Linked DNA regions of Astyanax mexicanus. The protein of the gene in region 1 interacts with the protein of each later gene in a biochemical or structural test. Links are inferred from orthologs where the notes say so. Each region holds a gene or a part of one and is shown in the gene's direction. Other genes may lie near its edges. The genes, in order: itga2b and rnf181.

Region 1 (16,514 bases):
TTAATTAAGCATGTAATTTTCTTTGAGAACGTCTGAGAAAAACACATGCATGGATGGTCTGGACAGGAATAAAATCACAGAGGGCCCCCCATAAAAGAGAAACTAAACCCAGGAACTCCTGAGAAACTAATCCCATCTGGATAGGGCTTTAGAAAAATTAAATATATTTCAAAAATGTTTTAAATCAGAGATTAAGGGCGTTTTTTTTTTTTTTTTTTTTTTGAAGACACATAAGTCCTCAACCAAGACTGATTCTGGGCTTGTTTGTGGGAGTGGCTTATTATCGCTGGGTTGCTTTCATAGAGAATTCCACTCAATTTACAGAGTTAATGGAGTTCATTCATTCATTTCACCATGAGGGAACACCTGCAAGCAATGACTGTTCTGGTAGGAGATGGTTTTAAACCATACGGGTGATAAACTGCTTTAGTCATATGACAAAATGAACCAATCACAATCAACCAGAGTCCAGTGAAAACAAATCCCACGACCAGAAATAGGTTCTGGGGACCTCTGCTGAGCTCCAAACCAGCTTTCACACTTGATCAAATGTACAAAACTCTTAGAGGAAACTCTCCTGGGTCCAGAAAAAAGTGTTAGTGTGAAAATACCCTCTCTAAAGAGCATTATTCACCACTCTGTCCAGAGTTGTAACGGAGGTGTTTGTGTCTTTGTGTTTTGTGAAGGTGTTCTGGGCAGGTCCGTGTGCAGGAGCGATTCTGGCCTGGCTGATGTACGATCTGCTCCTCTACCCGCGCTGGACTGGACTGAGTGACTGGATTATAGAGTTTAGACAGGTTTTCCTCACATCTCCATCCAAACAGCCAACGAACCCCCAAAGCAACACAGAAATCTAGACAGATTCTAGATGAACCTGGCTAATGATATATATATATAATTATATAAAGGGGTTGGACAATGAAACTGAAACACCATAATAATTTATTGTCCCGATAGAACAGGAAACAGGAGAGTTGAGGTGCACATTAAATTCTGCCGTGATTTGATCAGCCGTGGTTTTATGTTTTTTGGATACAATCCGGGTTAGCACCCGAACATCCCTTTCAGACAGCTTCCTCTTACAGCGTCCACAGTTAATCCTGTTGGATGTGGTTCGCCCTTCTTGGTGGCATACTGACATTACCCTGGATACCGTGGCTCTTGATACTTGATCACAAAGACTTGCTGTCTTGGTCACAGATGCGCCAGCAAGACGTGCACCAACAATTTGTCCTCTTTTGAACTCTGGTATGTCACCCATAATGTTGTGTGCATTGCAATATTTTGAGCAGAACTGTGCTCTTACCCTGCTAATTGAACCAACCTTCACACTCTGCTCTTACTGGTACAATGTGCAATTAATGAAGATTGGCCACCAGGCTGCTCCAATTTAGCCACACTAAAATGACAGGTGTTTCAGTTTAAATGTCTAACCCCTGAATGATGAAATACAGGGGTGTGAAAAGTGTTTGCCCCCTTCATGGTTTCTTATTTTTTTGCATGTTTTTCACTTAAATGTTTCAGATGATTAAGCTCATTTAAATATTAGTCAAAGACAACACTAGTAAATACAAAATGTAGTTTTTAAATTAAGGTTTTTTAATTATTAAGGGGAAAAAAAGTCTTTTACAGCACTGTGGAGGAATTTTGGCCTATTCTTCTCTACAGAATTGTTGGAATTACGCTTTTATGCTTTGATGCTTTGATGCTTTTATGATGTTACAAAGACTGTTTGTTTTTTTACACTTTTTTTACAAGTTAATGATATACTAAAAGATACAGAATGCTGATAACCAATACTACAGTATTTTCATTTTTTGCAATATGATGTTTTGTTATATGAACACTTTAATGAATACACTTTCAAGTTTCCCTTCTGTTTCCATTAATTCCAATGATTGTTCCAATGATCGTACTTTTAAGCATCTATCTTTACTTATGTCTGTCTGGTTAGCCTTCAGATTGTTACTCTTTTAGATATACCTATACATATACAGCCATTAAATATGTTTCATTAATTCATTTTTATTTTATTTTACAGATATTAAGTTATTTGGGCCATGGTTAATGTAAAAGGACGGCTTAAATTTATACAATTCAGTAAAATTGAATTTGATCATTTGTATGATGACTGAGTATAAAAGTTACAATGTTTTGATATGCAGTAAATTGCAAAATGGGTACAATGTTCACAAATAAAATAAAAGGCAGACTGTTTTAAACAGTTGCACATCTGTAAAAGCCTGTTGTTTAATTTGCTTCGTTAAACCAAACCTGCTCTTTACTTAAACATATTTTAGTCCCATTTAATAATAAGTGTCTGTAATAACTGTGTAGTTACACATTAACAATCCATATTATAACAGTGTTACTACTGGTAATGTACACAATGTTACAGATGTATTACAGTTGTAAAGGATATCTAACTGCTCATGCAATGTGCAAAAAAAACTAGTCAAAATATGTATATATTATGTATATATATATTATTATTTATATATATTATATATAATATATACTATAAGTGAAATAAGTAAGCATTTCTTCTCAAAATCTCAAAAAGTGAAGTAAATCAAGCAGAAATTTTCAGTTCAAATGATTAAAATGAAATTAAATTTCTGTTTTTTTAAGCAAAACTACTTAAAAAATATTTATTATTCATTAAATAAACAAAATAATCTTGCACTTACACTGTACAGTAAGACACAAATTTCTAACAAAGAAAAAATAAGATTTATTGCTTTAAAATTTGAATTAAAATTGAATCTTTTTTTTTTTTTTTGCTTTTTTCAGCATTTATTTTGACTAGTGTTTAATAGTGCGTAAAAATCTTAATAAAATGTGTGTGAATTTTCATGTGCAATAGTGCATGGTATAAATCGAGTGTATAAATGTATATGAATCGTGTCACGATTCTCTAAATCCTCGATTCGATTTTATTTTTTACGATTTTAGGGTCACGATTCGATTCGATTCTCGATTTTCCTTTCATCAAATTTACAATATCTTATTTCAAAAGGTGGGCTTGATACAAGTGATGCAAAGTGATACAAGTGATCTATAATACACCACATTAGGCACTAATGGTCAAATTTAAATAATTTAATCAAGATATATATGTAATGCCATCTAGTGGTTTTTTTTTTGGTAGCAGCAGTGTGCGCTATTAAAACAGCAATGTGCAACATAACAAAATAAATAATAAAAAATACAGGAACAGTCATGTACAAAATAATAGAACAATTAGAGCCTTAAGAAACTGAACTCTATCCTACTATAACAGTTAAACATGAAAAATAAGACTTTAAGACTTTTTCGGTCGCTGAGAATGACAAGTTTTTTTCTTTAATAAAGATCTATTATTAACTTTATCTGAGAGAAAGATGCTCCTTAAGGTACCAAAACTATTAACATATTTGAGGCTAGACAAAACAACTGATATTTTAATATTTTCAAGTGTTTCTTTAAGGAGATGAGAATGTACACATTCTCTGGAGAAAGGGCTGCTCTTTGAGCTACAGTGTGCTGCGCCATTTGCGGGATAGATTGTCAATCCTCTTTTGGACAAAATATTTTGCTTTGTTTAACTGACTTTTATGCACATTTGTAATTAGATAAGCTGTAGAAGTATAATTAATATGTAACAATGCAAATTTTACCAGTAGTTACACTGTTATTACATGTATTTGTAACTACACAGTTATCAGAGAAACTTAAGACACTTAGAGTACACTTACAAATAAGATCAATATTGCTCTTTTTTAAAAAAAAAACTTGTTTTAAAATCTCACACTTCTCCACATTGTGATGCTCTTTAGCCATTTGTGTTTGTAGTTCTGCAGTTGTGTTAAATGAATCCAAGGTTAAGCTCTCTCTCTCAGACAGTGTGAGGGAAATCCAGCAGCGCACCTGTTCAGAACTGGAGATCACGGTAAGTTAATGTGATTTACTGATGAAAACATTCGCGGCTCTGGGTCTCAGTTTTACGCCCCTGTGTTTCAGACTGTGTGTTATTGTAGGCTGGCTGTGTCCGGCTCTTGTGACCGGAGGAATTTTGGCTTTCCTCTCAGTCGTTTCACACGTGAACACATTTCACACTATTCCGTATACATTTCTCCAGCCTGACCTCAATCAGTCAGGGATGATTTCAGGTCATTCAGAGTTCAGGTTCAGTAAACACATCACCGCATGGCAGGAAGGAAAATATACATATCGTATAAATGACCATTTTACATCTTTACAGGTCATTTCAGGCTTAGACAGATGTGTACCTGATTAAAAAAAAAGTCTGTCAGACATTTCCAGACTTTTTTATTTTAGGATGTTTTCACACCTGAAAGTCCGGACCGTGGTCCGAACCAAGGTTCATATGTTTATTACATTGTATATATTTGGTCCGCTTATTTTTTTTTCACACTTTGTGTGATACTCCTACATCCTTTCATCATCACTTACGTATCGACAGGGCTGGACTGGGACAAAAAATTGGCCCTGGCATTTTTACTTTAGACCGGCCCCTCATAATTTGCGGAACACAACCCACTTGTAATTTATGTATGTGGGGTTACAGAGAAGCGTAATGTACATCAGCATATTAAATATAAGAAGTTTATTGTCTATTATTAACTCCGCCATTTTTGTCTGCTCTGATTTTTTATCTTTTTTTTATTGAAATCATCTCTAATATGTATTTTTTAAATTTCTCTAATACAACAGTTCAATTCTATTCTTCAGGTTAAAGGTGCTTCCTCCTTTAAACAGCTATAACATGAATTCGTATCAGGCTACAAACAGGGCATTCTGTATAGCCTTACCATTATCAACTTCATAATAAAAAATGAACTTTATTATAATCATGTTTTTTTTGGGGGGATATAATGTTGTAACAGGGCTCGAGCTCTTTTATTAAATGCTTGAAACCAGGGTTCACTCCTACTCTCATCATGAGAGGATCTTTTGATCTAGGTAGAACAAACAAACAATGAGCCTGATTGTGGCGCTTTATTAAAAACAAAGACAACAGCATTAATTTAACTACAAATATTTTTTCATTATTATTGGATGCATTTAAGTGTTCTTTTTAAGAAATATCAGATTTAAATTGATAAAATTAAATTATATTAGTGGTGTTAATCACTTACATCAGAGAGAGAGCGAGAGAGAAAGAGAGTGAGCGAGAAAAAGAGAGAGACAGTCAGAGAGAGCTAGCGAGAGACAGGGAAAAAAAGGGAGAGAGAGAGAGAGCGCGTGATTATGCGAGCGAGGGATAGACCCCTTCTAACTTGTGGGCCGGTCTCTTAGAAAAAAAGGAAGAAAAAAAATCAGCATTGGCCCCTGAGGAATGTCAGCCCACCGGGCATTTGCCCAGTACACCAGATTACCAGTCCAGCCCTACGTATCGATGTGTTTTTCATAACTTGACGCTGATTGGTTTTAGAAGGACGTGCGTCTGACGTTGGCGTGTTGATAATTCAGCAGGTGGTTCATTCGGTGGAAAGACCAGGATAAAGATAAAATGAATGAACAGATTCATTTCATCTCCATAGTAGTGCTGCTGCTATTGTGTTTTTATACCAGCAGCAGCAGCAACTTCAGACACAGTACTGTAGGTTAGTTCAAATTCACCAAACGAACGTGCTCGTCCTGAAGCAGCTGTATCCACGCCCCATTTTTCCTGCTTGTCCGGTTATTTTGAGAGGGTACTGACTGCAGCCTGCAGGAAGGCGGAGTTGGACGTCCAGTGCATCCAGTCCCGCCCACTTTGTTAGCATCATGTCTTAGCTCCGCCTCTGAATGGAAGTAAACAATGTACAGGGCAGTTAGCGGACTTTAAATATAATGCGCCGCGTCGTCCGGCTTAAATACTGTGTATACACTACAAGCTTGTGAGACAAAGTAGGTGGGACTGGACGCGCTGGACGTCCAACTCCGCCTGCAGGCTGCAGTCAGTAGTAGTTGGTAGTTATTTTTCTTCTTCTGCTGCTGTTGTTGAGGAATGCTGCTCAGCTTCCTGTAATTGGTCCGAAAGTTCAAACCATCCAGAAAAGTGCTTTCACACTGCAGGAGAACCGGACCATGGTTCAGAAGATCCGGACCGTGGTTCGCGGCCCCTTTCACACCTGTTCGGACCAAACTGAAAAGTCCAAAAGTCCGGACCAAACGAGGCAGGTGTGAAAGTACCCTTAAACATTTAACACACTTGATTTTAGTACTTGCTGCTGTCAAATCAAAGTCTTTACCCTTATACATCAATATATGCTGATGACAGAACTTGAAAAAAACTTCAAAGCAATGGAAAGTTGTTGTTTTTTTCTTTTTTTGTTTCTTGAACATTAATAAAAAAAATATTCTTTAATGGAACACATGCTTGATTTTTTTTTGTGAGGGTTTAGTGAACAGATGATTACATTAGATTAGATAAAATATAAAAGCTTAATTATATATAACAAATCAAACTAGGCCAAATATACAGAACAATACAGCTTTCCAACTAACATGTAAACACCAAATTTACCTCAAAGCTGTAAAGTAAATGGGATTCAAACTTTTTGATGATTTCCTGTCTCCTGATAAGCAGGAAGTTGTGAGGCTTTGTACATTTCTGTGTTTAAAGGACAGAAACTGTTGGAAAGAACAGACACTGTGGGAGCTGTGTTTTTTTTTTATTTTCTCTGAAGCTGTTGAATTTATTAAACTGTAGAAATAATACAGTTTCTGTACCACCAACTTACAGTATTAGTTTTTTTTAGTAAGCAGTGATGGGAATAACGGCTTTGGGGGTTACGGGGGCGAGTAACACAAAAATAACACAACAGTTACTTTTACTGGTAGCTAGTTACTTTTATAGTGGAGTAACTCACTTAGTAACTCAGTTACTTTTTTGGAGAAGCAACTAGTAACTATAACTAATTACTTTTTCAAAGTAACATGCCCAACACTGCTAATAAGTAAGGTTTCTCTGTTGTGTTATTGTTGTGTTTAGTGTGGGAACTGTATAAACATCTACACTATAAAGGATGATTCAGTATCGTTATACAGTGGGACCCCCTATAATTATATATATATATATATATATATATATATATATATATATATATATATATATATATATATACACTGAAAATGTAATAGATTGAATTTACTACACTGCACTGAATTGATATGGGTGCATTACTTCCATATGAAAATTAAAATACTACATCTTTTAAGTGTATTATGTTTTTGGCAGCCGCTGGATTGATCTAACATTATACATTATTAAAACACATTCGATGCATATATTTGAATCATTTTTAAGATAGCATTTAATATGTAACACTGCATTTCATATTTTTTTTCTCTCTCTTTTGTGTTTATTAATATACAGCTCTGGAAAAAAAAATAAGATTCCACTTAAAAATGATGAGTTACTTTGATTTTACCAAATTGAAAACCTCTGGAATATAATCAAGAGGAAGATGGATGATCACAAGCCATCAAACCAAACTGAACTGCTTTCTGAGTTGAGTTTTTGCACCAGGAGTGCAGGCATGAAGTTATCCAAAAGCAGTGTGTAAGACTGGTGGAGGAGAACATGCAAAGATGCATGAAAACTGTGATTAAAATCCAGGGTTATTCCACCAAATATGGATTTCTGAACTCCTAAAACTTCATAAATATGAACTTGTTTTCTTTGCATTATTTGAGATATTTTGTGTTATTTCAGTCATTTCTCTTTTTCTGCAAATAAATGCTCTAGATGACAATATTTTTATTTGGAATTTAGAAGAAATGTTGTCTGTAGTTTATAAAATAAAACAACAATGTTCATTTTACTCAAACATAAACCTATAAATAGCACAATCAGATAAACTGATTTAGAAACTGAAGTCGTCTCTTAATTTTTTCCAGAGCTGTATATGCACATTTTATATTTTACATACAGCAGCACACTGTCATTGTCTATTAATAAAGCTATCACTCAGCGCTTTAAAAGAAGACTCTGTCTGCTTTTATCTTGAGGAAGCACGTTTTAGACGCGATGACACGCGCAGAAGACAGTCTATTTTCCTGTATGAACCTCACACACTGATCATTCGTCTCATCAGCAGGAAGCTGCTCTCCAACACCAGGCTGCAGATATCGTACAGATTGATGATTGTGACACTATGAACACTCACACACACCCAGTGATGAGCAGAAACAGCTTCTGAGCGCTGCTGGAGAAGATGGAGGGAGTGAAAGACACAGGCCTGCTCATCTTCACTCTGTGTTTAGCTGTGTTTAGTATCGTCCCGCATCAGAGCAGCAGTTTTAACCTGGATCTGGAGAACTACAGTGAACACAGCGGACCAGAGGGAAGCTACTTCGGCTTCTCTGTGGACTTCTTTGAAGCAAACAATAAAAAGTAAGTGGCTTTAGAATCCGTAGCAGGTAGATTAATATTGACTCAGCAGTTAATAATGTATATACTGGTAGGCCAGGAAACTAAGCACCATTTACGGGCATCAGAAGCCAGAGTCTGAGAGAGCACAATTGGCCTTGCTTTCTCTGGGGTGGCTTGATGATGCTCTTACATTACAATACAATGAACATTTCTACATCATATACTTAATTACATATTCACTGTAAAAGAAAAATTAAGTCACTCCAACTTAAAATCATTAAGCAACTAATTTCCTGCCCTTCTTTAAGTTAGTACAACTTTATGGCTCATAACTAAAAAATGTGTTGAATTCTGTTGCTAAAACAGATATGTCAACAGAAAAACACTACTAACTGAACATTTTTAATAAGAAATATTGAAAAAAAAATATTCATTGGCTCTATTTCAAATCAGTCAAGTCATCATTTTGATTTGACTCAGTTGAGTTGTAAATATAGAACATTTTAAGTTTATTCAACTTATTCAACAAGTTTTGTTCACACAACAGTAGTTTAATTAGCTCAACAGTTTTTTTGTCATGCAATGTGGGCTCAAATAAATTATTTTATTTAATATAGATCAGTACTCTCAGCATGTTTAATAGAGCTGCCAATCCTGACAGTATAATACTGCCGCAGCATAAGAGTGAACTCTTCGGCTCAAAGCCAGCAGACCGTGATCACTAGGAACACAGAATAAAGGTAACTTGCTCTTACAGCCTACAACACTGAGACCTGCTGGCAATCAACACATAATAATGCACGCCTAGAATAAGGTAGCTTTGGGCAACAGACAACACAAAGATGGTAAGTAAGGGAGAAGCCACACCCAATATGCAAATATATGGTGCCAGAAGCCTATAGGAAAGCTGTATAAACCAACACTGATGAAAGAGCCTTGGCACATGTAGTATAGTAAAAATTGGTTGAAATCACATTTTTTTTAAATTAAGTTTTCAGGTTGAAGCTCTCTGAACCTGTTTTATTGAGTTGTTCTGGCCGGTAAGTTCACTCAATAATATTTAATCTCCTGACTAAAACACAAAATCACTTTTTAGAGTGCATATATATATATATATATATATATATATATATATATATATATATATATATATATATATATATACACATATATATATATACTATATATATATGTGTATATATATATATATATATATATATATATATATACCTAAAAGCAAAAAGTAAAGTATGATAAACAATACATTTAATAATTTTGATTTCTTACTGAAACACCAGACAGATAGGGGTGACGCTTGCCGAATAAAAGGTAAAGACTGGTTTATTTACAGAGCCGTAAACAGAATAACACAGCCAGATAACAGATCGAACAGAACTCACAGTATTAACAGAAGACGTAGTACAGGAAACAGTCCAAGATCCGAAGCCAGAGAGACAGTCCGATAATACAACAAATCCGATAAGGGCAAAGACAAAAGGCAAAATCCGTAATACAGAAAAAAGAGTCATAACAAAAGGGCAGTCAGAAAAGGGTTTGGAAAAAACGCTCAGTACGCAACATGAGTCGACAATACCTCCCAAAGAACATATGCTAACAGAACCCTATATATACAAAACATGGAATTACTATGAACCGGAACAACTTAGAACACAGGAGAGTCTGAACTTGGGAGCGTAACGCGATTGGGTGAAGGTGAGCGGCTGACGGTGACGTCATCGCCAGTGGGTATATGGGAAATGGAGTTCAGGAGTGTGAAAGGAGAGCCTAGAGACGTGACACTTACAATACTTATACATTTAAAATAGTCCAGGTATAATATTTATTTTGTCTAATGTCCATTGTCCTTTGTCTTTTAAGTTCACATATAATTGTCTTAAAAACAATATCATCCATTATCTGTACTTGATTTATTATAATTTTACATCTAGTAGTCCAAATTTTAATAATTAACAATGCAAACAATTAACCAATTCTTGTACATTTTATTTTTTGTAGTTTTCCCTCAAAATCCCATATAGTACAATTTTAACATTTAAATCAAAAGGGAAAACAATATTTTTCACCTTGTCCCAGACCTTCACAGTTCTAGGGCATTCAATCAATAAATGTTCCACAGTCGCGTCTTCTTGACAGTTCAACAAGGGGCAAAACTCCATTTTACTACACACCTTACAGCAAGCCTTCTTACATATATCAGCCAACTCAACTAAAACAGTTACAGGTAATCTAAAGGAAAATGATAGGAACTCCTAATGCTTCAGCACACCAAGAGCAAGGTCCATAAAGACATAGATAAGAAAGAAGATCTTGTGGAAGAACTTGACAGGCCTGCACTGAGTCCTGACCTAAACCGAAAAAAAAAAACTTTTGTTATGAATTAGAGCGGAGAATTCATCAGTGTCTGAACTCACAAATCCACTTCTAAAAAACCCCATGTTATAGCTGCAAAGGGTGAGCCAACATCATTTTAACCCTATGGATTAGAAATGGCATGTCACTCAAAAATACATGCATGCAATGGCAGATGAGTGTATACTTCTGGAAATATAGGATCTGCAGAAATTGTTTATTGGCTCCACTGCAGACGAGCATGAAGATGGAGCAACATTCAACTTTTTTTGGCATTTAAGATTTTTTTATATCATAAGTGTCTTGTATAAACCTTGTGTCTCCAATTTAAATATGTAAGATTTTATTCCAAGTCATTATAGAGCATTTCTATTGGTTCATTCATCATGACATTTTGATACAATGTAAATAACAAACTGTCAAAATTGCACTGTATCAAAAATATAAAAAAACTGAGATGCACAGCAAAATTGACAGTGTCAAATTAACCCTATAAGAGTTTAATTTAACACTGTCCTAGATAACATATGGTCCCACTCACTATAGTGTTAAAATAACTCTACCACAAGAGTTAATTCAACACCATATGGAATCATATATTAACCCTATGTAACTCTCATCAGTGCTAATATTTTAGAGTTAATTCAGAGTTAAAACAATGTAGGGTTGTAACACAGGGTAAAACAACAATTGTTGATTTTTTTGTATTTTTTGACTTTTCCCCCTAAAAACTATATATCAGAGTATCTATAAAACATTATAAAATGTGAGCTATACCACAGAATAAATTACTATTTTATACTATCTAAGCTTTATTTAGAACAAGATATACTATTAAAAACTGCCAAAAAAGAAGTGTTTCTCCTATAACTCAAAATAACTCTTGGATGGAGACCCTTATCCACCATCCAACCTCACGCCACCAGGTGGGTGAATAAAGCTCCATCAGGAGAACCACCACAACTAAGCTAAACCACACACACACACACACAGCAGAATCAAGAGGCGAAGCCTGTTACAGTTGAATATTTTAACTCTGAATAATAACAACAACACTGTGGATTGTTTATCACTGAGTGTTGTTAGAAAAAACTCCCAGAGAGTTAAAACATGTTTACACTGTGATTTTAACGAGTACAAGGTTTTTGCATGTGTGTATTATTGTCTCGGTACAATATAGTGAACTGGCCTGTAGAGGAAGGTCAATTCAGAGGCATAATTTAAAGTCTTGTGAAGCGTATCTAACGTTGTGAAATTGTGGTTCTCAGAAGGGTCATCGTTGCGTAACACACTGTCATTTCTGCTCTGCAGTGTGAGTGTTGTGGTGGGCGCACCCAGAGATAACGTAGGAGCTTCCCCGGGAGGATCTGTCTTCATCTGTCCGTGGACGTCAACACAAGGTCCCTGTCAAAGACTGGCCTTTGACCAAACAGGTCAGCCTGGGGTTAGCACTGGAAAAGCTGTTACTTTAAATGTGTGTCATTACCTAATTACATGACATCTTGTGAAACTTGAACTTGTTTATGATTAATTATTTCATGAAATGTATTTAAAGTCCTCACTGCTTTAAACAGAGGAAAGATAAATACTTAAATACTGTAAATGCTGGACAGAACTTAATCTAATACTCTAATGCAGTGAGTGAGTAAAGTGTAGGGGTATATATAGTGAGGTAAACAGGTGAAGTCAATACTCAAGTCAAGTCAATACATGTGATTGTGGTCTAAAATTTTTCATTTTATGTCATCAGACGGAGTGAATGAGTGATGTGTGTGTGTAGTGCATTCTGGACAATGGAGTCTGGGAGATCACTGGTATCACAGGTACAGGAGGAAAGGGAGCATCTTCGGCCCCTGGTGTGACAACTGACTAAACCTAAACTAAAACTTTAACCACAGTAAAATCATGAAGAATCAGTTCTTTATTCATTTACGTTTCGTTCATTAATTTCTTTTTCATAAGATACAAAATATTAATGAATTGATGAATGAATAAAAAAAAAAACAAACACAGAGTAGGTCATATTTTTAAACTAAAAACCTATATTGACCTATATGGCAATTTCTATGTGAGATCATTCATTATTTTACATTGACATACACTGAAAGCTCAGAAGGTTAGCAATTTGGATTACTGTTTGGAAGACAGTAATGTTTCTATAGCCCTATCTGGATGGGATTAGTTACTTAGGGGAACATCTGTAAAAAAAATATCACATTTTAACTTAAGTGATAAAACACTTGCATTCAGACTGCAATTGAAAAAACAGGAGTACCAGTGAGTTTTTGGCTTTTTTGGTCACATAACATTGCATTGTCTCGTGATATCAGGACAATGTAGCACATGGAGGACGATGGTGATGTCTAAGTGCTCTAAAAGACGCTGGAGCAGAGAAGAGACACTGACTCTTATTTCACTTTGGGTTGAAGCCAAATTTTAGCAACAAACACAGTGTGGGAGTGTGGGAGTCCGTATGGAAACGCGTTCAGTAGCTCCTCCATTTCCACTCGCTGTTGTGTTTTTACGTGGATCTCCATGGAAACACATGCCCAAAGTGTCATTACGGTGCGTGGCAGTGGACAAATAGCTATTTTAATAAACGCAAGGAGATGAAACTCAGAGATGTGCATCTAAAATAGTAGATAAAGTAGATAATTCAGCCTGTAAATTTCTCAATGGACGTCTGAAAAAAAACACGTACATGGTTGTTCCGGACAGGAATAAAATCACAGAGGACCCCCATAAAAGAGAAAATTACGCCATGCAGGACCCCCTAAAAAAAGAAATCTTAAGATAGGGCTTAAGAAAGGAAAGATACATTAGATTAGATTTATATCCTGGTTCATCTTCTGTCTATAGGTGATGAAAACTTCACATTTGGAGACATGCTCCTCATGAGCCATAAATCTGACCAGTGGCTGGGGGCCACAGTGAGGGCCTACAAGAGTTCCATCTTGGTAAGTAACAACGTGTTTTGTGAAGTATTGATGCGATTGGAAGCCAAATGTGATTTAGTCTGTTAATAAGAGAAACAATACAGGTTTGGGGATTGGATGCAAGAAACTTATTTTTACTTTTTGAGACATATGAAAAAAAGCTAATATGCACCATATGATACACAGGACATATGCACAGGACCAGTCAAAAGTTTGGAGTGCTGTTAACTTGCAGTTTCTGAGGCTTGTAACTCTGATGAATGTATCCTGTGCAATAGAGTGCAATAGATTAGGGTTGTGGGGGAGGTGGAATAAATGTAGAGTTTTTTTTAATTATCTATATATATTTTCTTCTTATTTATTCATATATTTATTGTTATTTCTTTTAAGATCTTTTGTGAGCCTTTTGATATCTTCTGAGATATTTTCTCTTTTTTTGTAGCTTCTTTTAAGATTTCTTTTCTTTCTATTCTCTTTTCTCTTTTACCCACTGTTACTGGTCACCCCTCAGCGATTGTAATAATTTTTTTACCAATATTATAAAGAGCATCTAAAGATTCTGTGGATATAATCGAGACACACAAACTTAAAAAAAATAAAAAAACTGGTAACAACTGTTACTTTTTGTTACTGTTACTTAAAAAAATAAGTTAATAAAACTGTAATAAAAGTGTGCTATATATCTGTATGAACAAACCTATATTTAACACATAATATAGCCTATATTTAAGCAATAATACACAAGAGGGAGTGCTATAAAGTGTAATATTGGAACTGCAATATTACACGTTATAGCATGAACCTGGAGTGCATTATTACGATTATACCACAGTTCCATTATCGCTGTTTATTTAAAGATTTTGAGTTAATGAGGACGAGAAAATACGATTGGTTTGGTTATAAACACTCTGCAAGTTAAAATAGTTCCATGGCTGCTCCGTGTTCAGCTGCGCTGTTTGGTTTGCAAGACATAGAGAACTTTACAGTGCATTACATAACCATACAGTGCATTACTGGCTGATAATGTCACTCATATAACGCGTCTCAGCCAATCATATTACAGGGTCGAAACTAACTGTTGTATAATGAACTGTAGCAGCTTGACAAACCCAGGTCTCAAACCCACAACCTTGTGATCAACACCCTGATGCTCCAACCAATCAGAAACCAGCCCTGTTCTGTATATTATGTTGACTCTGCTGTTTCCCCTTATGCAGGCCTGTGCTCCCCTGTTCCACTGGAACGTGGTTCAGGGCAAAGACGAGGCCATGAACACACCAGTGGGGAACTGCCAGCTACTGGACACACTGACTGGAAATTTAGCCAACTACGCCCCCTGTAGGGGAACTGCAGTGGAGGAAAGCTACACTAGAGCCAGGAACTGTAAGTTCTGACTGCGGTCTGTGGAAAATGATGCTGTATATTTGAAATTATGGCTTCTGTAAATGTATAATAATTACACAATGTGTGGTTGGTACTTCATTATGAATATGATCCCTTTTAACCCTTTGAACTCTAGGCTGTTTTGGTGTGTTTTTTTTCTCAGTTTTTGTCAGTTCCTCTTTCAGGTCTTATAACACAGTAATTACATCAGACAGACACATGCCCTGATCTCTTTTACTCCAGAAGACATACGGTTGCTCAAAAATATAATCATTTAAAATGTAAAAGGAAGCAGAGTTGTTATATTTTCCTGGAACTGATCATGATTTGGTCAAAATTTTACTTATTTTTGAATGTATAGACTTTAAATATATTCACACCTAAGATATCTTTTTAAAAATGTTTAGACTAGAGTGTTTATGAGTTAAAAAAGCATAAGAATATTGATGATTTGAGTTCAATACAAGAATTATTAATTATTACTTTAACAAAATACATGGAGAAACAGCATCAGACAGATTTATTTTTCTTGATAATCAATAATCACACCTCTAGGATACATGTAGATACTAAAAACCTGATACTCAGAGCAGCCTATACCTTTCAGTATTTTAATCAGCACACACAAAGAAAAATATACAATATACAAAAATGTAAACTTGTTAGTCTAAATTAATAAAAATGTTTAGTGCAAAATAACTACTTAGTAAAAATGTGCAAGTAAGATAAAATATATATATATATATATATATATATAAAGTAGTGCGCACAACATACCTAGCTTTAGTTTGAGTAAAGCAGGTAGTTTCACACCTAGTTTTTCTGTGGACACTTTTGAGTCTGATATTTACTGATATTATTTGGTTTGAATCATCATATAAATATGTTTGAAGCACTAAAGGTAAATAATATTGGTTGGGGAAGGAGATCTTATCACTTTTTTTAGGTGTTTTTCTCAATGGGTTTCTTGTAGATTTAGCTTTACCACACTGGGATGTGATCACTATTTTTAGAAAGAGTAAGCTCCGCCCTTTCTAATCATATATGGATTATGTTGATGTGTGAAGGGATTCCTGAGTAATTAAGCTGAGAACACAAGGTGCGATTTTGGATGGAAAATCTGTCTGTAGGGTTCTAAGGGTTAAACATTTGGACAGTTCAGTTACATTTGTTAAATAAATCTGTGAGGAACCGACCCCTTGCTGCCAGAAACTTAGAGACGCTCTGTGTTAAAATGTATGTTTTTCTCTCTTTTTTTCAGATCAGGACAGACGCTACTGTGAAGCAGGCTTCAGCTCTGATGTCACTAAGGTATAAAACCCAAAGCTCACTGCTTTCTCATCGCTTTCTCAATTTCTGAAGAATTGATCCATTGAGATCAAATGGGATTCATTCCATGAACCCTTCAAATATTTCATATTACTTAAAGGCCCTGCTCTTGTCAGAAGTTCCTTTAAAAG
Region 2 (16,514 bases), on another chromosome or scaffold:
ACACCAGCCACATGAGATAACATCTAGTTTATATTAGCTTGAGTATTACAGACCAAGCCAAGAACTGCTTGGCTAGTTTGTATCCAGGTAGCATCTGTCAGAGGAGATACAATCCGGCTAACATCAGATAGAGTACCTAACATTCAGCTAATATTAGCCAGAGTTGCTAACATCTATCTAATATCAGCTGGAACGTCTAGATAGCAGCCTCTAGATAAGTTTAACATCCATCTTACATCAGCTAGAGAAATTAACATCCATCTAACAACAGCCATAGGAGTAAACATCTAGCTTACATTAGCCAGAGTTGTTAGCATCTAGCTTACAGCAGCTAGAAAAGTTTAACGTCCAGCTTACATCAGCAAAAGAAGTTGCTGTTGAAGACAACAGGCATCAGCCTGAAAGTTTAACATCTAGCTAACATTAGCCAGAGTTGTTAACATCTAGCCAACATCTGCTAGAGTGGTTAACATCTAGCTATCATTAGCCAGAGTTGTTAACATCTAGCTAACCAGCTGGAACATCTAGATACGTTTAACATCCAGCTTACATCAGCTAGAGAAGTAAACGTCTGTCTAACACCAGTCAGAGGGTTTAACATCTAGCTAACATTAGCAAGGGTTGTTAACATCTAGATAACATCAGCTAGAGTAATTAACCTCTAGTTAACATCAGCTGGAACATCTAGGTAACAGCAGCTAGAGAAGATACCATCCAACTAGACCAGTAAGCATAACATCCAGCTAGAGAACATCTAATCAATATCTGCGTAATGTCTAGCTAACATTAGCCACAGCTGTTAACATCTAGTAGTAAAACCCTGGAGTAGTTAAAATGCAGCTAACATCAGCTACACAAGTCAATGTCTTTCTTATGTCAGCCAGAGAAGGTATTATTAGGAAAACAGCAGCTAGAGAAGCTGTTAGTGTCTAACGTTTAGCTAACGTTAGCCACAGTTGTTAATCCTGGAGTAGTTAAAATCCAGATAGCAAAGGTAACATCTTAATAACAGAAGTTTACCATTTAGTTAAAAATCAGCTAAAAAAAAGTTTATCAAACATCTAGTTAACGTTAGCCAGAGTCGTTACTATCTAGATAACATTCACCAGAACATCTAGCTGAAATCAGCTAAATGAGTCGTAATCCAGGTCACATTTTTTTTACAGTAGTTAACATCCAGCTAACATCAGCTAGAGCAGTAGTCAGAATAGTCAACGTCTAGCTGATGTGAGATAGAAAAGTTAACACTGTTAGCAAAAAAAAGTAAATGTTACTTTAGAGTAAGTTAATAAGTGGATTCACAATTTATTTGATGAGTCAAAGCACAACATTTTGCAAAGCACATTTTACGGTTCTAGGGAACCCTGGGTAAATATCTAATGAAAGTAAATATCTACACTTTTACACATTTAGTAAATTTCTCAGATTTTTCTGTTTTTTTTTTTTTTTTTTTTGATAATTCTGTGGTTGAGATGTACACAGTGGATCAGAGTGGAGGGTTCTGTGTGAAATTTTGGTTTATTGTAGAGAAGTTTAATGATATGGTGAATACAACCCTGTTCTCCACAACTACAACATAATTATATGCATTTTATTTACCGTCCAAACCCAGCAGTGAAGCTACCACCACCATGGGCTGTGAGCTTTATATGGAATGTTAATGATTGTAAAATATGGGTGAATCTGAATAAAATATATTGTTTGTGGACTGTTTCTTGCCTTCACCGTGAATTTATTAATGTATATTTATCTGGAGGCCATATGTAATGGTGTTAATAATATTTTTTTATGTATTTCCCCAATTGACAAGGCCAATTACCCAACCCATTTATTAGGACTCCCCCTATCACTAGTGATGCCCCAACAAACCAGGAGGTTGAAGACTAGCACATGCCTCCTCTGACACATGTGAAGTCAGACTCCGCCTCTTTTTGAACTCTTTTTGATGCAGTATTACCGAGCTGTAGGTTGGAGTGTGTAATAGAGTGGAGGACAGTGAGTGATGATTAAACACAGTGTTTAAAAACTCCAGCAGCACTGCTGTATCTGATGCACTCACTCTACCACCAGCTCAACACACACTAACACCTCATACACCACCACCATGTTAATCACTGCAGTGCTGAGAATAACCATACACCACCCAAATAATAATAATAATAATAATAGCTGATCTGTGGTGGGTTTCTCTCCTGTGGGATTTTGAGTATTAAATAACACAGTGAACGAAGAATAATAAAGTATAGCACAGTTAGTTCCGACCCTGCAGTGTGATTGGCTGAGAGGCATTCTATGAGTGCTATTATCAGCCAGCAATGCACTGTAACCGAAGTTCTCCTTGTATTACTTTGCCGCATACAGGTAACCTAGCAACGATGCAGCGCTTACAAACCAAACATTGCAGCTACAAACAGAGCAGCAATGGAACTATTTTAAAATTTTCACAGAGTGTTAATAACCAAACAGATCGCATTTTCTCGTCCTCTTTAACTCAAAATCTTTTAATAAACAGCGAGGTCTTTCAATAATACACTGAAGGTTTGTGCTATAACGTGTAATATTGGCACTGCTGTGCTGATCTACAGTACTTTGCCTGAGGCCTCATGCCTACGACTGCACGCCCACGACAACAGTGCCAATATTACACGTTATAGCACTCCCTCTCGTGTATTATTGCTTAAGTATACAGACAAACAGATGCAGAACTACTTCTAATTATTATACAACTACAAAATAAAATAATGGATGTAGATAATGTCATTATTATGTTTTGATTAGGCCTATAAAATACTTATTCTAGCTTATAATTCTCTCAATGGGAAGTTCTTAAACCCGATGACCCGTTACACTCTCTTGGGCAGGGTTTGGGCTGATGTATTGAGTTTGTAATGTTTTTAACTTTGTGATTCACAGACTGAGAGAGGAAAGTTCACTTCCAGCACTTCCAGACAGTTTTAAGGCTCTCCTATTGTGCAGATTAAACACACATAATAACACACACACTTTTATTAGCTTCTATCATCTTCATCAGGGAATTACTCAGATGTAGGCTACTGCCAGAAGAATGTGGGGGAAATGTTTTGGGTTGTTTTCAGCAATGGATCATTAAATGCTTTCAGTTCTCTTAAAGAACTGTTATAGTGCTCTGGGCTTCAGCACAGAATCACAGCATTTATCAGCAGCTGCCCATCAGTTTAAGACATAGGCGTAGGAACCGGGGGGGATGGGTGGGACATGTCCCACCCAATATTAGAAACAGGTGGATTTGTCCCCCCCAAAAATGACATCTTTTCGCTCAGATCAGGTGTACTATTAATGAGAAGTCAGACCGGACCAATCACGAAGCCGGTTCAGGTATTAAGTCCCGCCTCTCAGTAGAAACAGCCAATCAGCTTGCTGGTTTTGCGCCGCGCGAAGGAGAGGCAGTTTGCTGTTTGGAAGCCCCTCCCCCTCGCTGTGAGATTTAGCAGCGGGGTCGGGACGCAGCAGCTTCAGCTGATTTTAAAACAGATATGGATATACGGAGATTTTTCTAAAAGAAAGGTAACGATAGGTTAACCACGTCAACTGTGATGATATGTTTCTGCTAGCTGGTTAAAAATACACGTCTCTGAATCAGCACACAGTTTAAACCCACTGTGATTAATAAACTGCAGCTGTGTGAGTGAGTTAGCTTAACTTTGGAATGAGCTAGATTGGGAGTCAAGGTTAAAGAAAAAAAAAAACTATATATGTAATGTTCAACTTGCCCTGTACCTGATCAGCTAATCACTGTTTCATTTTCAATTAATTTAGGACTTACTGTGAGCTATAATGAACGAATATTCATTTAACTAGTTATCTAGAAGCCAGATGTAGTGGATAGCCAGAATTTAGTACAGTACTTTGTGTTTGTAGTTTAAAGCAGTTTCTTAACCCTGATCACTGCCCCAAAAATTTTCCACCTGATCCAGCTGATCAGCTAATAAACAGTAATTTACTGAGTTTACCTGTTAAAATCCTTTAAAGTCAAAGTCAAAGTCAAAGTGGTTTTTATTGTCATTTCAGCTATATACAGAGTACACAGTGAAACGAAACAACGTTCCTCCAGGGACCATGGTGCACATAAACACAGTGTAGACAGAACAATAGTGCAACAGTACAAAAGTGCAGACAGACAATACAACACAATACAGACAAAGAATAATAAATAACAAGACAGTGTGCAAATTTAGCCCCCTATGGAGCCTAAATAAATCATTATGTATATCCAGCAGTGTATTAGACACATCATACCACCACTAACTTTATTAAATGCCTTTAAAGCAGAGGAAGCTCTAAAATATGCAGAACAGTGTTAATATGCAGTAGAATATGTAAGAACAGGGTTGAGAAACACTGCTGTAACGTGACTTCTATTCATTTGTAGTTCACAGTAAGACCACATGTCCTGACGTTTATAAAAATCTCTATGAAACTTAAAGTTACATTCTTTTACAAAAAAGGACACCATCTTAAGAAGAGCTCTCAGTAAAAAAAAAAAAAAGCGCAGGAGAAAATGTAAATATACGACAGAATTGACATGACATAATAATAATAATAATAATAATAATAATAATAATAATAAACAAATCTGTTATATTATTTTAAATATTAGGTGATAACTGATTATTTTTGTCGTATGTATATTATTCAGACATTGCATGCATAATTTTTTCTAACAACAGTAAATGTAACGTGGAGTAACATGTTTAGGTTGTTAAATCACCTTATAATAATAATTTACTTTTAGAGTGGGCTTGGGTTCATATTGGCAAATGTGTCCCCCCCAATATCAAGTCCGCTCCTACGCCCTTGGTTTAAGATGCTGTTAGAACAGCTTTTGCAGTGCCAAATGATTGTATGGAGAATTTATCATATTTATACACTACACAAAAAACATTTTTTTCTGGCTTTAATTAATAATTACTTATTTTCACTTTATTTCCTGATATACATGCATCTGTCTTGTTATGGCAAGCTGCATGAGAGGGTGGACAATTTTTGTGAACATTGCCATTTGATGGAAACAGATGTGTTGGTTTGTATCACACGTTGGTGATCTTGTTCTTGTTCTGTTTCAAATAAAAAATTCGATTTTTTAAAAAATTATTTTTAAAATTGCTGTGATTTTTTACAGTGACAGGGTGGACTAAAGCTACACTTTATCTCTTTAAATCAGGGGTCTCAAACTCATTTTTGCCGAGGGCCACATTGGCATATTGGCTGTCCTATGAGGGCCAGATGTAACTTATAAATATAAGAAAATGTAACCAGATGTAATACAAAATGAATGTAATTACTCCTTAATGTTAAATAACTCTCAATATACTATTTATTCAATCAAATATACAGTTGCATGGAAAAATGATTGCTTGTTGCTCTATTAACATAAATCCTTTTAATTTATAAGTTATATTAACTTTGATCAAAACGTTTGATACTGAAATAAGGCTTAATAAATATAAAATCAAAAATTGTGAGCTGTGACAGATTTAGCATTTCCTCAGATTTAGCAGTTCCTCATCCAACCACTAGTCGGAGCTGCAGCTGCAGCACCACAAGCCCGCAGTCTTTGCTTAGTCAGAGCTGCAGCCCAGCCACGGGCTACAGGACTCAGCTGAGCCAGTCTGGAGCGTTTTTAAATTTTTTAAGTTCTTCTGTGTATGAAATAAAATAACCCCACTAACCGGATAATACAGCTCTCTACAGTTCATCTTTCAGCCCAAGCAGCTAACAGCAGCAGTTTAGAGCAGCGTCACGGAGTCACTGCTCGGATTACATTATAAACAGTTCAGTTAGCGCGCTGCTAACCTCAGGATGTTTATAACTACGGAGTTTAATGGACACACCACGGCAGCAAGGTTAGACTGTTGAAGGCTACTGAAGACTACTAAAGCAGGCAACGCAGCGTAAGCAAAAAAAAAAACAAAAACCACACACACACACCAAAATACAAGTTAAGATAAAATATGAAAACGAACATAATAAAGCATAAATAATTAAATTGAATTGCGGGCCAGATGTATGTTTATTTTGTTAACCCGTGAGGGGCCGTATGAAACCGCGTCGCGGGCCGCATGTGGCCCGCGGGCCGCTACTTTGAGACCCCTGCTTTAAATGGTAACCCTAACTAACCCCCCTGATTTTTGCTGACTCCACCATTAGCTCAAAATAGGATGGGTAGTTTAAGAGGGGCACTGGGTGATGTATGGGTTTAGGGGCGGGGCAGGAGGGAGAGCTGATTGGCTGAGCTGCAGCAGCAGCAGTGTGCCTCTGATAGCGGTGAGACGCAGATGGTTGGACGTCAGCAGGGGTTGGTATTATTGATAGACTGATCTGCATATTGTAATGTGTCTGTGTACCAAAGTTCACAAAAACATTTATTTACTCAATTTGTTTTCTACATTAAATTACATAGTAAATTGACAAGGCCAATTACCCAACCCATTCATTAGGACTCCCCCTATCACTAGTGATGCCCCAACCCCAGAAGGGGAAAAACCAGCACATGCCTCCTTCGACACATGACCCAATCTCCTGATCTAAACCTGATGAACTGAAATGGTAACTTGAAGTTATTTAGGATGAGCTGGAGCTTCACAGCGTGAAGAAAAGAAAAGCAGCAACTATTGTTCAGCAACTCCAGGAACTCCTTCAAGACGCTGAGAAAACTATCAAAATTGCACAAGAGTCCTTAAAGATACATGTGATATTTAGAAGAATCTAAAGTATAAAATATATTCTGATTTGTTTACCAGTTTTATAAGTTTACAGAATAATTCAGCATGTGCTCCTGTATAACTTTAATATAGTCTTCAATATTAAATATACAATGTAAAAAATCATTAAAAAAAGAAACACAGAGTTGATGAATGAGAAGAGGTGTGTCCAAACTTTTGACTGGGACTTTATATAAAATAGAAACTATAAAATAATACAGTTTAATAAAACAAGAAGCTTTAAAAGATCATTTTATTAGGTTAACAGTAGCTCAGCTGCTCCCTCTGCTGTTACACTCAATGCTGAGTGCAATGCTGACAGTTTGTCCGGGTCACTCTCAATTGGTTGCTTCCTCCCTACATAGTGCACTAAATTTACAGCCTAGGTAGATAGTATATAGGAAGCTGCGTTTGCGACGCGCCCTCCTGGTTCAGTTCCGTGATGATGACAGTGCAGGGTTAGCTCAGCTTTCAGCTCTGACAGCGGCGGAGGCAGCGGCGGGTAGGGTTATATTACTGTGTCGGTTTATATCATTGTTAGGGTGTGAATTAGAAATTAAACACGATACGATACATTCAGAGCTTTTATTCTTTTATTCTCTTGATTTACAGCACTATCAGCTGATTAGATATCTGTTAGCTAGCCTGGTGAAATTATTAACACAGCCGGCAAAGTGCTGAATAACGTTAGTTCACTAGCTAAGCTAACTAGCTAATGTTTACCTTAGCCTGTTTTTAGCTAGCTTAGCTTAGCAAGCTAATGTTAATGTAACGTTTCTGAAGCAGTAACGTTTATAATGTGTTAAATTAGCTTCTATAAAATATTATAAACATGTGTAAATGGTAATACAACGTGCTTATGCTTCTAACACTTTAGCCAACCTAACTAACTTAAGTTAGCTAATAGTTAAAGTTAACTAAACTAACTAAGGCTGTTTCTACATTGATTCAACGTTATAGTTTTATATGTACTATTTGTATTAAATATTACTTATATTAAACATGTATATCTAGTTTGTTTTCTATGCTTATAGCATGTACTATGTTCCTGTAGTGTAGAAAGGGACGTAATAATAAAAACATAATAACAACAACAATAACAACAACAACAACAACAACAACAATAATAATAATAATAATTAGTAAAGGTTAATTTGTGTAAAATATAATGAACATATGTAAAATGCCAACCTAAAAAGCCAACCTAACTAGCTTAACTGACTATCTTATGTTGTTTCGACATTGATTCAACGTTATGGTGTTACTTTTGTATTAAATATAACTATAACTATATTAAACATGTACATTTTGTTAGTATTCTATTCTTATAGCATGTCATGTGTTCCTGTAGTGTAGAAAGGGACGTTTAAATAGTAATAATGTTAGTAAATGGTAATAACACTTGTATACGCTTCTAAAACTTTAGCCAAACTAACCTAGCTAAGGTTGTTTTAAGATTGATTCAACGTTATGGTTTCATATGTATTGTTTGTATTAAATATTACTTATATTGGACATGTATATCTTGTTTATATTCTAGCGTATACTGTAGTGTACTGTGTACGTTACTGTATCTTGTAGTGTAGAAAGGGACGTTTAAATAGTAGTCAATAGTATTTTTTTTTTTTTTTAAGTAAAAATGTTTCTGAAACTTTTACCAGCACTAAGTAGCTAAATAACAAACCTAGTTAGCTGTGGCAGAAGTGAACTGGTGGTACTAGTGTAATCCAGCTGGCTAAACAGATGGCAAACGTTGACTTAACCTTTAACATATTTTACATGTATAGCTTGTATTGTGTTCCTGTGGTTTAAATAGGGGTAAATAGTAACACTAACTCTTAGGCGATCAATATGTATAGCGCTTAATATACAAGAATGGATGGATAAGTGACAGTTGTAGTTTTACTGTCTTAAAAGTTTGTCTTCCTATTACAAACTGGTCTCTTAACTGCCCCCACTCTCACCTAATAATAATAATAATAATAATAATAATAATAATAATGTATGTAAATAATACATACAATCATACATTTAATATTAATGTATAATTGAATAGTAATACATTTTTTGGTTGCATTACATCTTTTAATGTTAATAGAGAAACAACCTTTATTAAACAAGCTTTATTTAATTGCCTAATAGGCATTGGTTTGTGTTGAAATTGTGACACTGAATCAGCTTTTATTTAAATGTTTGAATACTTGAAAAGTAGGGCTGAGCTCTTCTACACTCGCTTTTAGGTTAAAAGTTATCAGTTATTATAACTTATATAAATATATATATATATTAGGAGTGGGCGATATGGCCCTAAAATAATATCACGATATTTCACGGTATATTCCAATATATTAAAACACTAAGTTAAAAAATATGTTTAAATAATAAACTATTGCAACAAAATGATAATTTAATTTTATTATTGCAAACGAGATGATATCGCACATCCCTAACTGAGATATTAAAAAAATATCATGATGCTGATCTTTTTTATTTCTTTATTTCTTTTTTTTATAAGAATATTACCAGCATTGGCCAACACTACTACATTTTTCTACTAAATACTGAAAAGATACAAAAGTGCCCTCGACATATAAATCCTGTAGTGTTTTAATGTCTGCTTTATCCCAATTGTTGAACCCTTTATCATGAGTTAATGGAAGGAAGAGATGGTTTGAGATACGTGGGCAAGATAGGGAGAGATTTCTAAAATTAAAATGTTTTCTAAACCTTTTCCAAATTTTCACAACATACACAAATATTTAATGCCAGTAAAGTTTAATACAATTAATACACATAAAACCATAACATTGAATCACCCTATTAAGTCTGAAGAAAGATCATCAGCATTAAATATTCCTTTCTGTTAATGAACAGACTGGTTCCCTGACTTGAATTACAGAAACCTGACACTGCTGTAATGTTCTAATGATGTTTCTGTCGTTAGGTTAATTTTCCAGCTCTGGGATGACTTCATACTTTGAAGAACATGACTGTGAACCTACCAATCCCGAGGAGCAGTACAGACAGAATGCTCTGCTGGAACTGGCCAGGTATCTGCCACAGCTTTTCTATTATCATACACTTTAATGGGTGGTTTATTAGAGACACTTGTCTTTCTTTCTCTTTCTTTTAATTGGCCTTTGTATAAAATAGGTCCATGCAATACGTCTATTATACTTTCACCTGCCTTCTTATTAGGTGGACCGATAATGTATTAATTAGGGGGTGTCACGATTTCGATATTTTATCGAAATCGATCGAAATGATGTCATGGTCTCGAGCATCGAAGTCAAAAAGATGATCGACGATCCCTCCCTCTAAGCTACGCAAATGGCGCAGCACGCACCGCAGACATTGTGACTGCTGAAAGAGCAGCTCTTTCTCCAGAGAATGTGGACATTCTCATCTTCTTAAAGAAAAACTTAAAAATATAAAAATAACAGTTGTTTTGTCTAGCCTCAAATATGTTAATAGTTTTGGTACCTTAAGGAGCATCTTTCTCTCAGATAAAGTTAATAATATATCTTTATTAAAGAAAAAAACTTGACATTTTTAGGGACCAAATCTTATTTCTCATGTTTAACTGTTATAGTAGGATAGAGTTCAGTTTGTTAAGGCTCTAATTGTTCTATTATTTTGTACATGACTGTTCCTGTATTTTATTATTATTTATTTTATGTTGCACATTGCTGTTTTAATAGTGCACACCGCTGCTACCAAAAAAAGCCACTAGATGGCATTACATATATATCTTAATTAAATTATTTAAATTTGACCATTAGTGTCTAATGTGGTGTATTACAGATCACTTGTATCACTTTACATCACTTATATCAAGGCCACCTTTATATTATATCGCAATATTAAACAATGCAGGGTCCATCATCACCAGCTCCGCTCACACCGATCAAGAGCTGAGTCAGCGCTGAGCACTCAAAACCCGAGGAAAACAGCAAAACAACAGTAATCTACCCTTTAATTAGGCATTTAAATGACTTTTTAAAAGCTAAATAAGAGCTTAACAGCGTGAATTCAGCTGTAACTAGAAATATCTGCGCTGCAAAACTGTGCTGGACTGAGGTACACAGCTTTCAACACCTGCTCACGTTTACAAGCACGTACCCAACCATGTGGATAGAGGCCATGCAGTTACCTTGTGTTTACTCCTGCTCCCCCCTCCGCCTCCTGTGATGTGACTATAGCGCATGCGCACATAGCGATTCTTAAACGATATATATCGTGCAGCCATAGTCTCTTACAGTCTGTTTAACACCAGACCTCCTATAATGCTGTTGTATTATGCAGAGGATCCACTGTTGTGTGTTTATATTTACAGCATAAATTAACAGCTCAGTTTTTTTTCTTAAGGTCACTGATGCAGGGCTTGGATATAGACTCAGGATGGATGGATGTTTCTGACTGGGATCAGCGTCTCCCTCCACCTGCATCCAAAACGGTGGTGCAGAGCCTGCCTCTACATCGTATCACTCCACAGCAAGCAGGTAACTGTCCTGTTCTTCCCAGCTTCCACTTTAATAGTGCTTTCTGGGAGGGTGAGATGAACTGTGGTGGAAGCATCTTTGATTTGATGTCCCTCTGACTCACTTTCTTTTGTCCAGATAAAGGGCTGAAGTGTCCTGTGTGTTTGCTGGAGTTTGAGGAGGAGGAGATGGTTCGTGAGATGCCCTGTAAACATTTCTTTCACTCCGGCTGCATCCTGCCCTGGCTAGGCAAGGTGAGGGGATGTGTCTACACATGTATACTCACACTGGGTGGGGACAATACTGCGTTTTATTAAGGTGCATCACAGATTTCCTATTCAGTCATTGCACAATACCGATACACTGATATTGGCAAAGACCAAGCTGAAATTTTCTCTTTTAAAAAGGTACAACTTTAATATTTAAGCACTTTATTGATGAGCAGACTACTAAATCAATGAGCTGCTATTTATTTTATAGGTGAAGGATAGCTCTTAAACTCTAATGCTTCAAAGTTTGTCAACCCCTTACATTTTTCTATATTTCTGCATAAATGAAACCCACAACATAACAGTAGACAAAGAGAATCCAGTTAATCCAGCAATTGAGACAAACAAAAGTATTATACTTGGTAATTTATTAATTGAGAAAATTATCCAATATTACATACTGTTGATCAGTCCTGTACACTGGCTAGGAGCAATTGTAGCCCATTCCTCCATACAGAACAGCTTCAACTCTGGGATGTTGGTGGATTTCCTCACATTAACTGTTCTCTTCAGGTTCTTCCACAACATTTCCGTTAGATTAAGGTCAGGATTTTAAAACACGACTTTTATTCTACTTTAACCATTTTTGGTAGCTTGACTTGTGTGCTTAGGGTCATTGTCCTGCTGCATGACCCACCTTCTTCATGTACTGCATGTCCTGACATTTTCCTTTAAAATTCTCTGATGACTAATAAACACCCTCCTCTTGGAGTGATCTTTGTTGATCGAACACTTCTTGGAGAGGGTAACAATGGTCTGGAATTTCCTCCATTTGTACACAATCTATCTGACTGTGGATTGGTGGAGACTAAAGGTCTAAACTTTAGATTTTTAAATGTTTTCCAGCCTGGTGAACAACTTTTCTGAGGTCCTCAGAAATCCTCTTTTGTCTGTGCCATAATACAGTTCCAAAATTTGTTGTAAAGAGCAGACTTTTTGTTATGCTTTAATATAATTTGATTTTAGGTCATATTTATGCACAAATATAAAAAATTCTAAGGGCATCATAACGCCCTCCGAGCCCTCATTTACCCACAGTTTTCTGTGCACATGCATTGTTAGGTGGTGAATATACCACTTAGTATATTTTAATATCCCTTCAACACATACACAGTCTATAACTACAAAACTAACTGTCCTAGGATCAGAATCCAATGCTTTTGCTGAGAAAGATGCTTTATTTTTGTTTCAGACCAACTCATGTCCACTCTGTCGATTTGAACTGCCCACTGACGACGCTGACTATGAAGAGTTTAAAAAAGACAAGGTAAACAGAGATGTGTCTTTAAAACCATAGAAAAAAACGGCACTGACTTTAGACTTGATAATAAAACACAGTGGATCAACACCAGCAGATGTTGCACATGACTCTCCAAACCATCACTGATTGGTGGAAACTTCACACTAGACCTCGAGCAGTTTGGACTGTGTGTCTCTGCACTCTTCCTCCAGACTCTGCTCCCTTGATTTACAAATGAAATGTAAAATTTACTGATGGTCAGTGATGGTTTGGAGAGACATGTTAATCTGCTGGTGTTGATCCACTGTTTTTTATTATCAAGTCCAAAGTCAGTGCAGAGCTATTCTATTGGTTTTCCCACAAAATCTTACAGCACTTCATGCTTCTTCCCTCTGCTACTGACAACTTTTATGAAGATGCAGATTTCATTTTCCAGCAGGATTTGGCACACTGCCCACCCTGCCAAAAGTACCAATTGGTGTTAAATGATATTTAAATTTTCTGAGACACTGCTTTTCGGATTTTCATTGGCTGTAAGCCATAATCAACAACAATAAAATAAATAAACGCTTAAAATAGATCACTCTGTGTGTTTAATACATCTATATAATATAAAGTTTTTGTCTGTGGACACACACAGGAGAGAAGAAGGCAGAGAGAACATCGCTTGGAGGATCTTCACGGAGCTATGTACACTTGACCTTCATACCAACACCCCCCGACCCCTGTCCCCTGAATCCACACCACACACAAAAACGCACATTTTTAATGCAGGGCTGAACTGATGAGCTGCCTGGACGGCTGGTTTGCGTGTTTCTGATTTGAGAGGTTGAGTTTGGACCGTGCTCTGGAAAGTGAGACTTCTCTTCTACTTGAAAATAATTAGCTATTTTTAAAAACTTACATTTTGTATGCAAATGCACTAAGATTAGTGTTGTCTAAAGGACTTGTGAAGTCTGTACCGACTGTAAATCCCATCACATCCTGTGAGTTTCCATTATGAGCCTTTTTTGAACACAAGAACTGTGTATTTTCCAATGTTATCTTGTGTCTTTATCTATTTATTTCTGCTTTTTAATAGAATTTGAATTTTTATCATGGTGTAAAAAAAATAAAGCTGCAGTTTAACTCTGAGGAAAACATTTTGTTGCTTCATTAACATCAGCAACGCTGCCTCTCAGAGTGTAGCTCTTCAGCTGATACAGGATGAATTAATATAGAAAAAATATTAATAAAAAATATGTTATGAGAATTATGTTATGTGAGAAATGAAAAAAAGAAAAAGACAATCTCAGAAATGTTGAGTGTGAGTTTGTTCTTTTTTTAACCTTTACAAAAACAATATTATATCAATATAATTACAATATATAAATAAAATGTGTTTGTTTTTTTGGTCATATTAACTGTCCTGTCCATTTTATGTGACCATTCCAAGAAGAACTGACCAACAGAAATGCTCCAAAATGACCTGGAATAAAATATTTTTACACTGACTCAAAACAGAGGCTGTTTTTTTTCTCATTTCATGTTTTATTCTGAATGTAACATGTATAATTTTATTTATAAATATGACATTGTACCATTACACCACCTCCTCTTCCAGCATGAGCTGGCTGTTGACACAAGTCAAGTTGGGTCCATTGACTTAAAGAGCCACTAAACCCTAAACCATATTTCTCCAAAAATAGCTGAAATGTCATCATTTGAAGAAATAAAACAGCAGTCCTGCTTTAGATTTTTATTCATTTAACACAACAAACAAATGTATTTAAAGTTGTTTCCTCCTCTTTTTTTAGCAGAGGTTTAAGTTCATTTTTACACTTTTCTCGCACTACTTAAATAAAATAAAGTGTTCAGCACCACTTATCACTCTTGATATTGTTTTAATGAGCTTCTTATCTATCTCTTTTCTTTTCACTGGCTGTTTTCCAGCTGAAAGGTACAGTATGAGCTGTACAGGACTAGGATAGTAACGTCAGTTGAGCAAACTTCTCCTTATCCTGTCATTTGTTTATTTACCAAACCTCTGGCTGCTTTCATCTGTGTAAATTTCAGTCACATGTAACTTGAGTAGCACTGCTGCAGTAAATCTGTGACTAAAACTGCACTGCGAATGTATTTGCGGTAGCTAGCTAGCTAGATGTGTTACTAGAACAGCACGGCTGAGGTAAAGTTATGATTAGAAAAGCACTGCTGCTGTAAATGTATGTATTGTGCTTTGTCAGTTTATCTGCTGGGATATTAAAACGTTTAGTGTTGTAGTTTTGTACTTGCTTTTTTGCAAGAAATTATAATGGAATAGTGGAAAAATGGCAAATGTAATAAACCCCTGTATATATATATTTTTTTTTATAAACCTTTAACCTTTAAGAAACGCTTTTATTCTGGTCAATGGATCTGAAAAAATTGATTTTTTTCTGCTAACTCAAAGAAATAAGAGATTCAGAAGCAACAGACCCGACCAGATCATCTTCCAGGCACATGTTTCGCTATATAAAGGGTTTTAAACTTGCAGAGTCAGCACCTATATCTGTCAAACCAGCAGCAGTGTTAACGTATTTTAGTAACAGGAAGAAAGATTGAGCTGATAAGTTCATCAAAATATGCTGATCAGAGAGACTTTAAATTCAAGCTTCCTCAGTGTTCTCGTTAATAAAGCCATCTACAGTGAAATCCTCCATTATCTGCTGAGTAAAGGGTTGTCAGAAAATATCAAGATATCTAAGTATCTCGATATTAAGTTTTGCAATACTGTACTGAGATTCTCAAGAATACAGTATGGGTTTTTATTATAATTAGTTTACATAAAGATTCATTACTGGATAAATTAGTTTTTTTTTTAAACCCCACACTCTAGAAAGTGTCTTAAGATCCCACTGTTTGTTTCTGATTGCTTTGAAAATTAGTTTTGCTCAGATTTTATTAATGATAATTGTTATTAAAAAATGATTCATTTATTTAAAAATCATATTGCAGTTTCTGGGCTCTAAGTGGTCCAGAGGTCTAAAGCGCTGCCACTATAATCAGGAGATCGCGGTTCCAATCCTGGTCATGCAGCTTACTTCATCAGCTGCTGGAGCCCTGAGAGAGCACAATTGGTCTTGCTCTCTCTGGGTGGGAACAGTAGATGGTGCTGCACTATCCCCTCAACACTCCTAGGGTGATGTAGATCAGCACAAGGCTGCGTCTGTGAGCTGATGTATCAGAACCAAGTCGCTGCGTTTTCCTCCGAGTTATGCTACTCAGCAATGATCCATCAGCAGCAGTTCAAAAAGAGGCGGAGTCTGAATTCACATGTATCGGAGGAGGCATGTGCTAGTCTAAACCCTCCTGGTGTGTTGGGGCATCACTAGTGATGGGGGAGTCCTAATGAGTGGGTTGGGTAATTGGCCGTGTAAATTGAGGAAAAAATGTGAATGCTGTTCTGTGCGCTGTGGTGTAGCAACAAGGCAGGGAGCCAACAAACGTCAGGTTTAAGTTCATTTGAGTTCAATATATTAAATAATTACCATTTATCGTGATATGCATCTTAGTGTAAGTTCTTGCCAAAACACAGCACTACTGCTGTGAGAAAAAAAAAGACAGAAACACAACATTTTAACATATAATCTGCTTTATTTGTCAGTAATTTTTTTACTGTAATTGAATATAAATCTCTGATCAAAGAAAAAAAGAAACATCATTGAAATGATACATAACTCTTACGTATTTACATAAGTGACTTATAAAAGAAAAAATATTCTCTGCATTGTTTTTTGTTTTTTCTGTTTCGGTTTTTGGAGTC

What was found.
Region 2: the proteins of itga2b (region 1) and rnf181 form a complex in vitro, tested with the Homo sapiens proteins (2 studies listed by BioGRID). The link is inferred for Astyanax mexicanus from reciprocal best matches to the Homo sapiens genes ITGA2B and RNF181.

What each region holds. Positions count from the first base shown.
Region 1 is NC_064426.1:36,361,742-36,378,255, reverse strand, and holds the start of itga2b (integrin alpha-IIb), read left to right. Parts: upstream 1-8,080; 5' UTR 8,081-8,207; coding exon 8,208-8,386; intron 8,387-12,046; coding exon 12,047-12,168; intron 12,169-13,594; coding exon 13,595-13,692; intron 13,693-14,888; coding exon 14,889-15,054; intron 15,055-16,315; coding exon 16,316-16,365; intron 16,366-16,514. Other genes in the region: aquaporin-5, read left to right, coding at 687-857. UniProt on the Homo sapiens protein: Integrin alpha-IIb/beta-3 is a receptor for fibronectin, fibrinogen, plasminogen, prothrombin, thrombospondin and vitronectin. It recognizes the sequence R-G-D in a wide array of ligands.
Region 2 is NC_064429.1:6,769,938-6,786,451, forward strand, and holds rnf181 (E3 ubiquitin-protein ligase RNF181), read left to right. Parts: upstream 1-7,143; 5' UTR 7,144-7,242; intron 7,243-9,684; 5' UTR 9,685-9,704; coding exon 9,705-9,790; intron 9,791-11,108; coding exon 11,109-11,242; intron 11,243-11,359; coding exon 11,360-11,475; intron 11,476-12,682; coding exon 12,683-12,757; intron 12,758-13,370; coding exon 13,371-13,430; 3' UTR 13,431-14,223; downstream 14,224-16,514.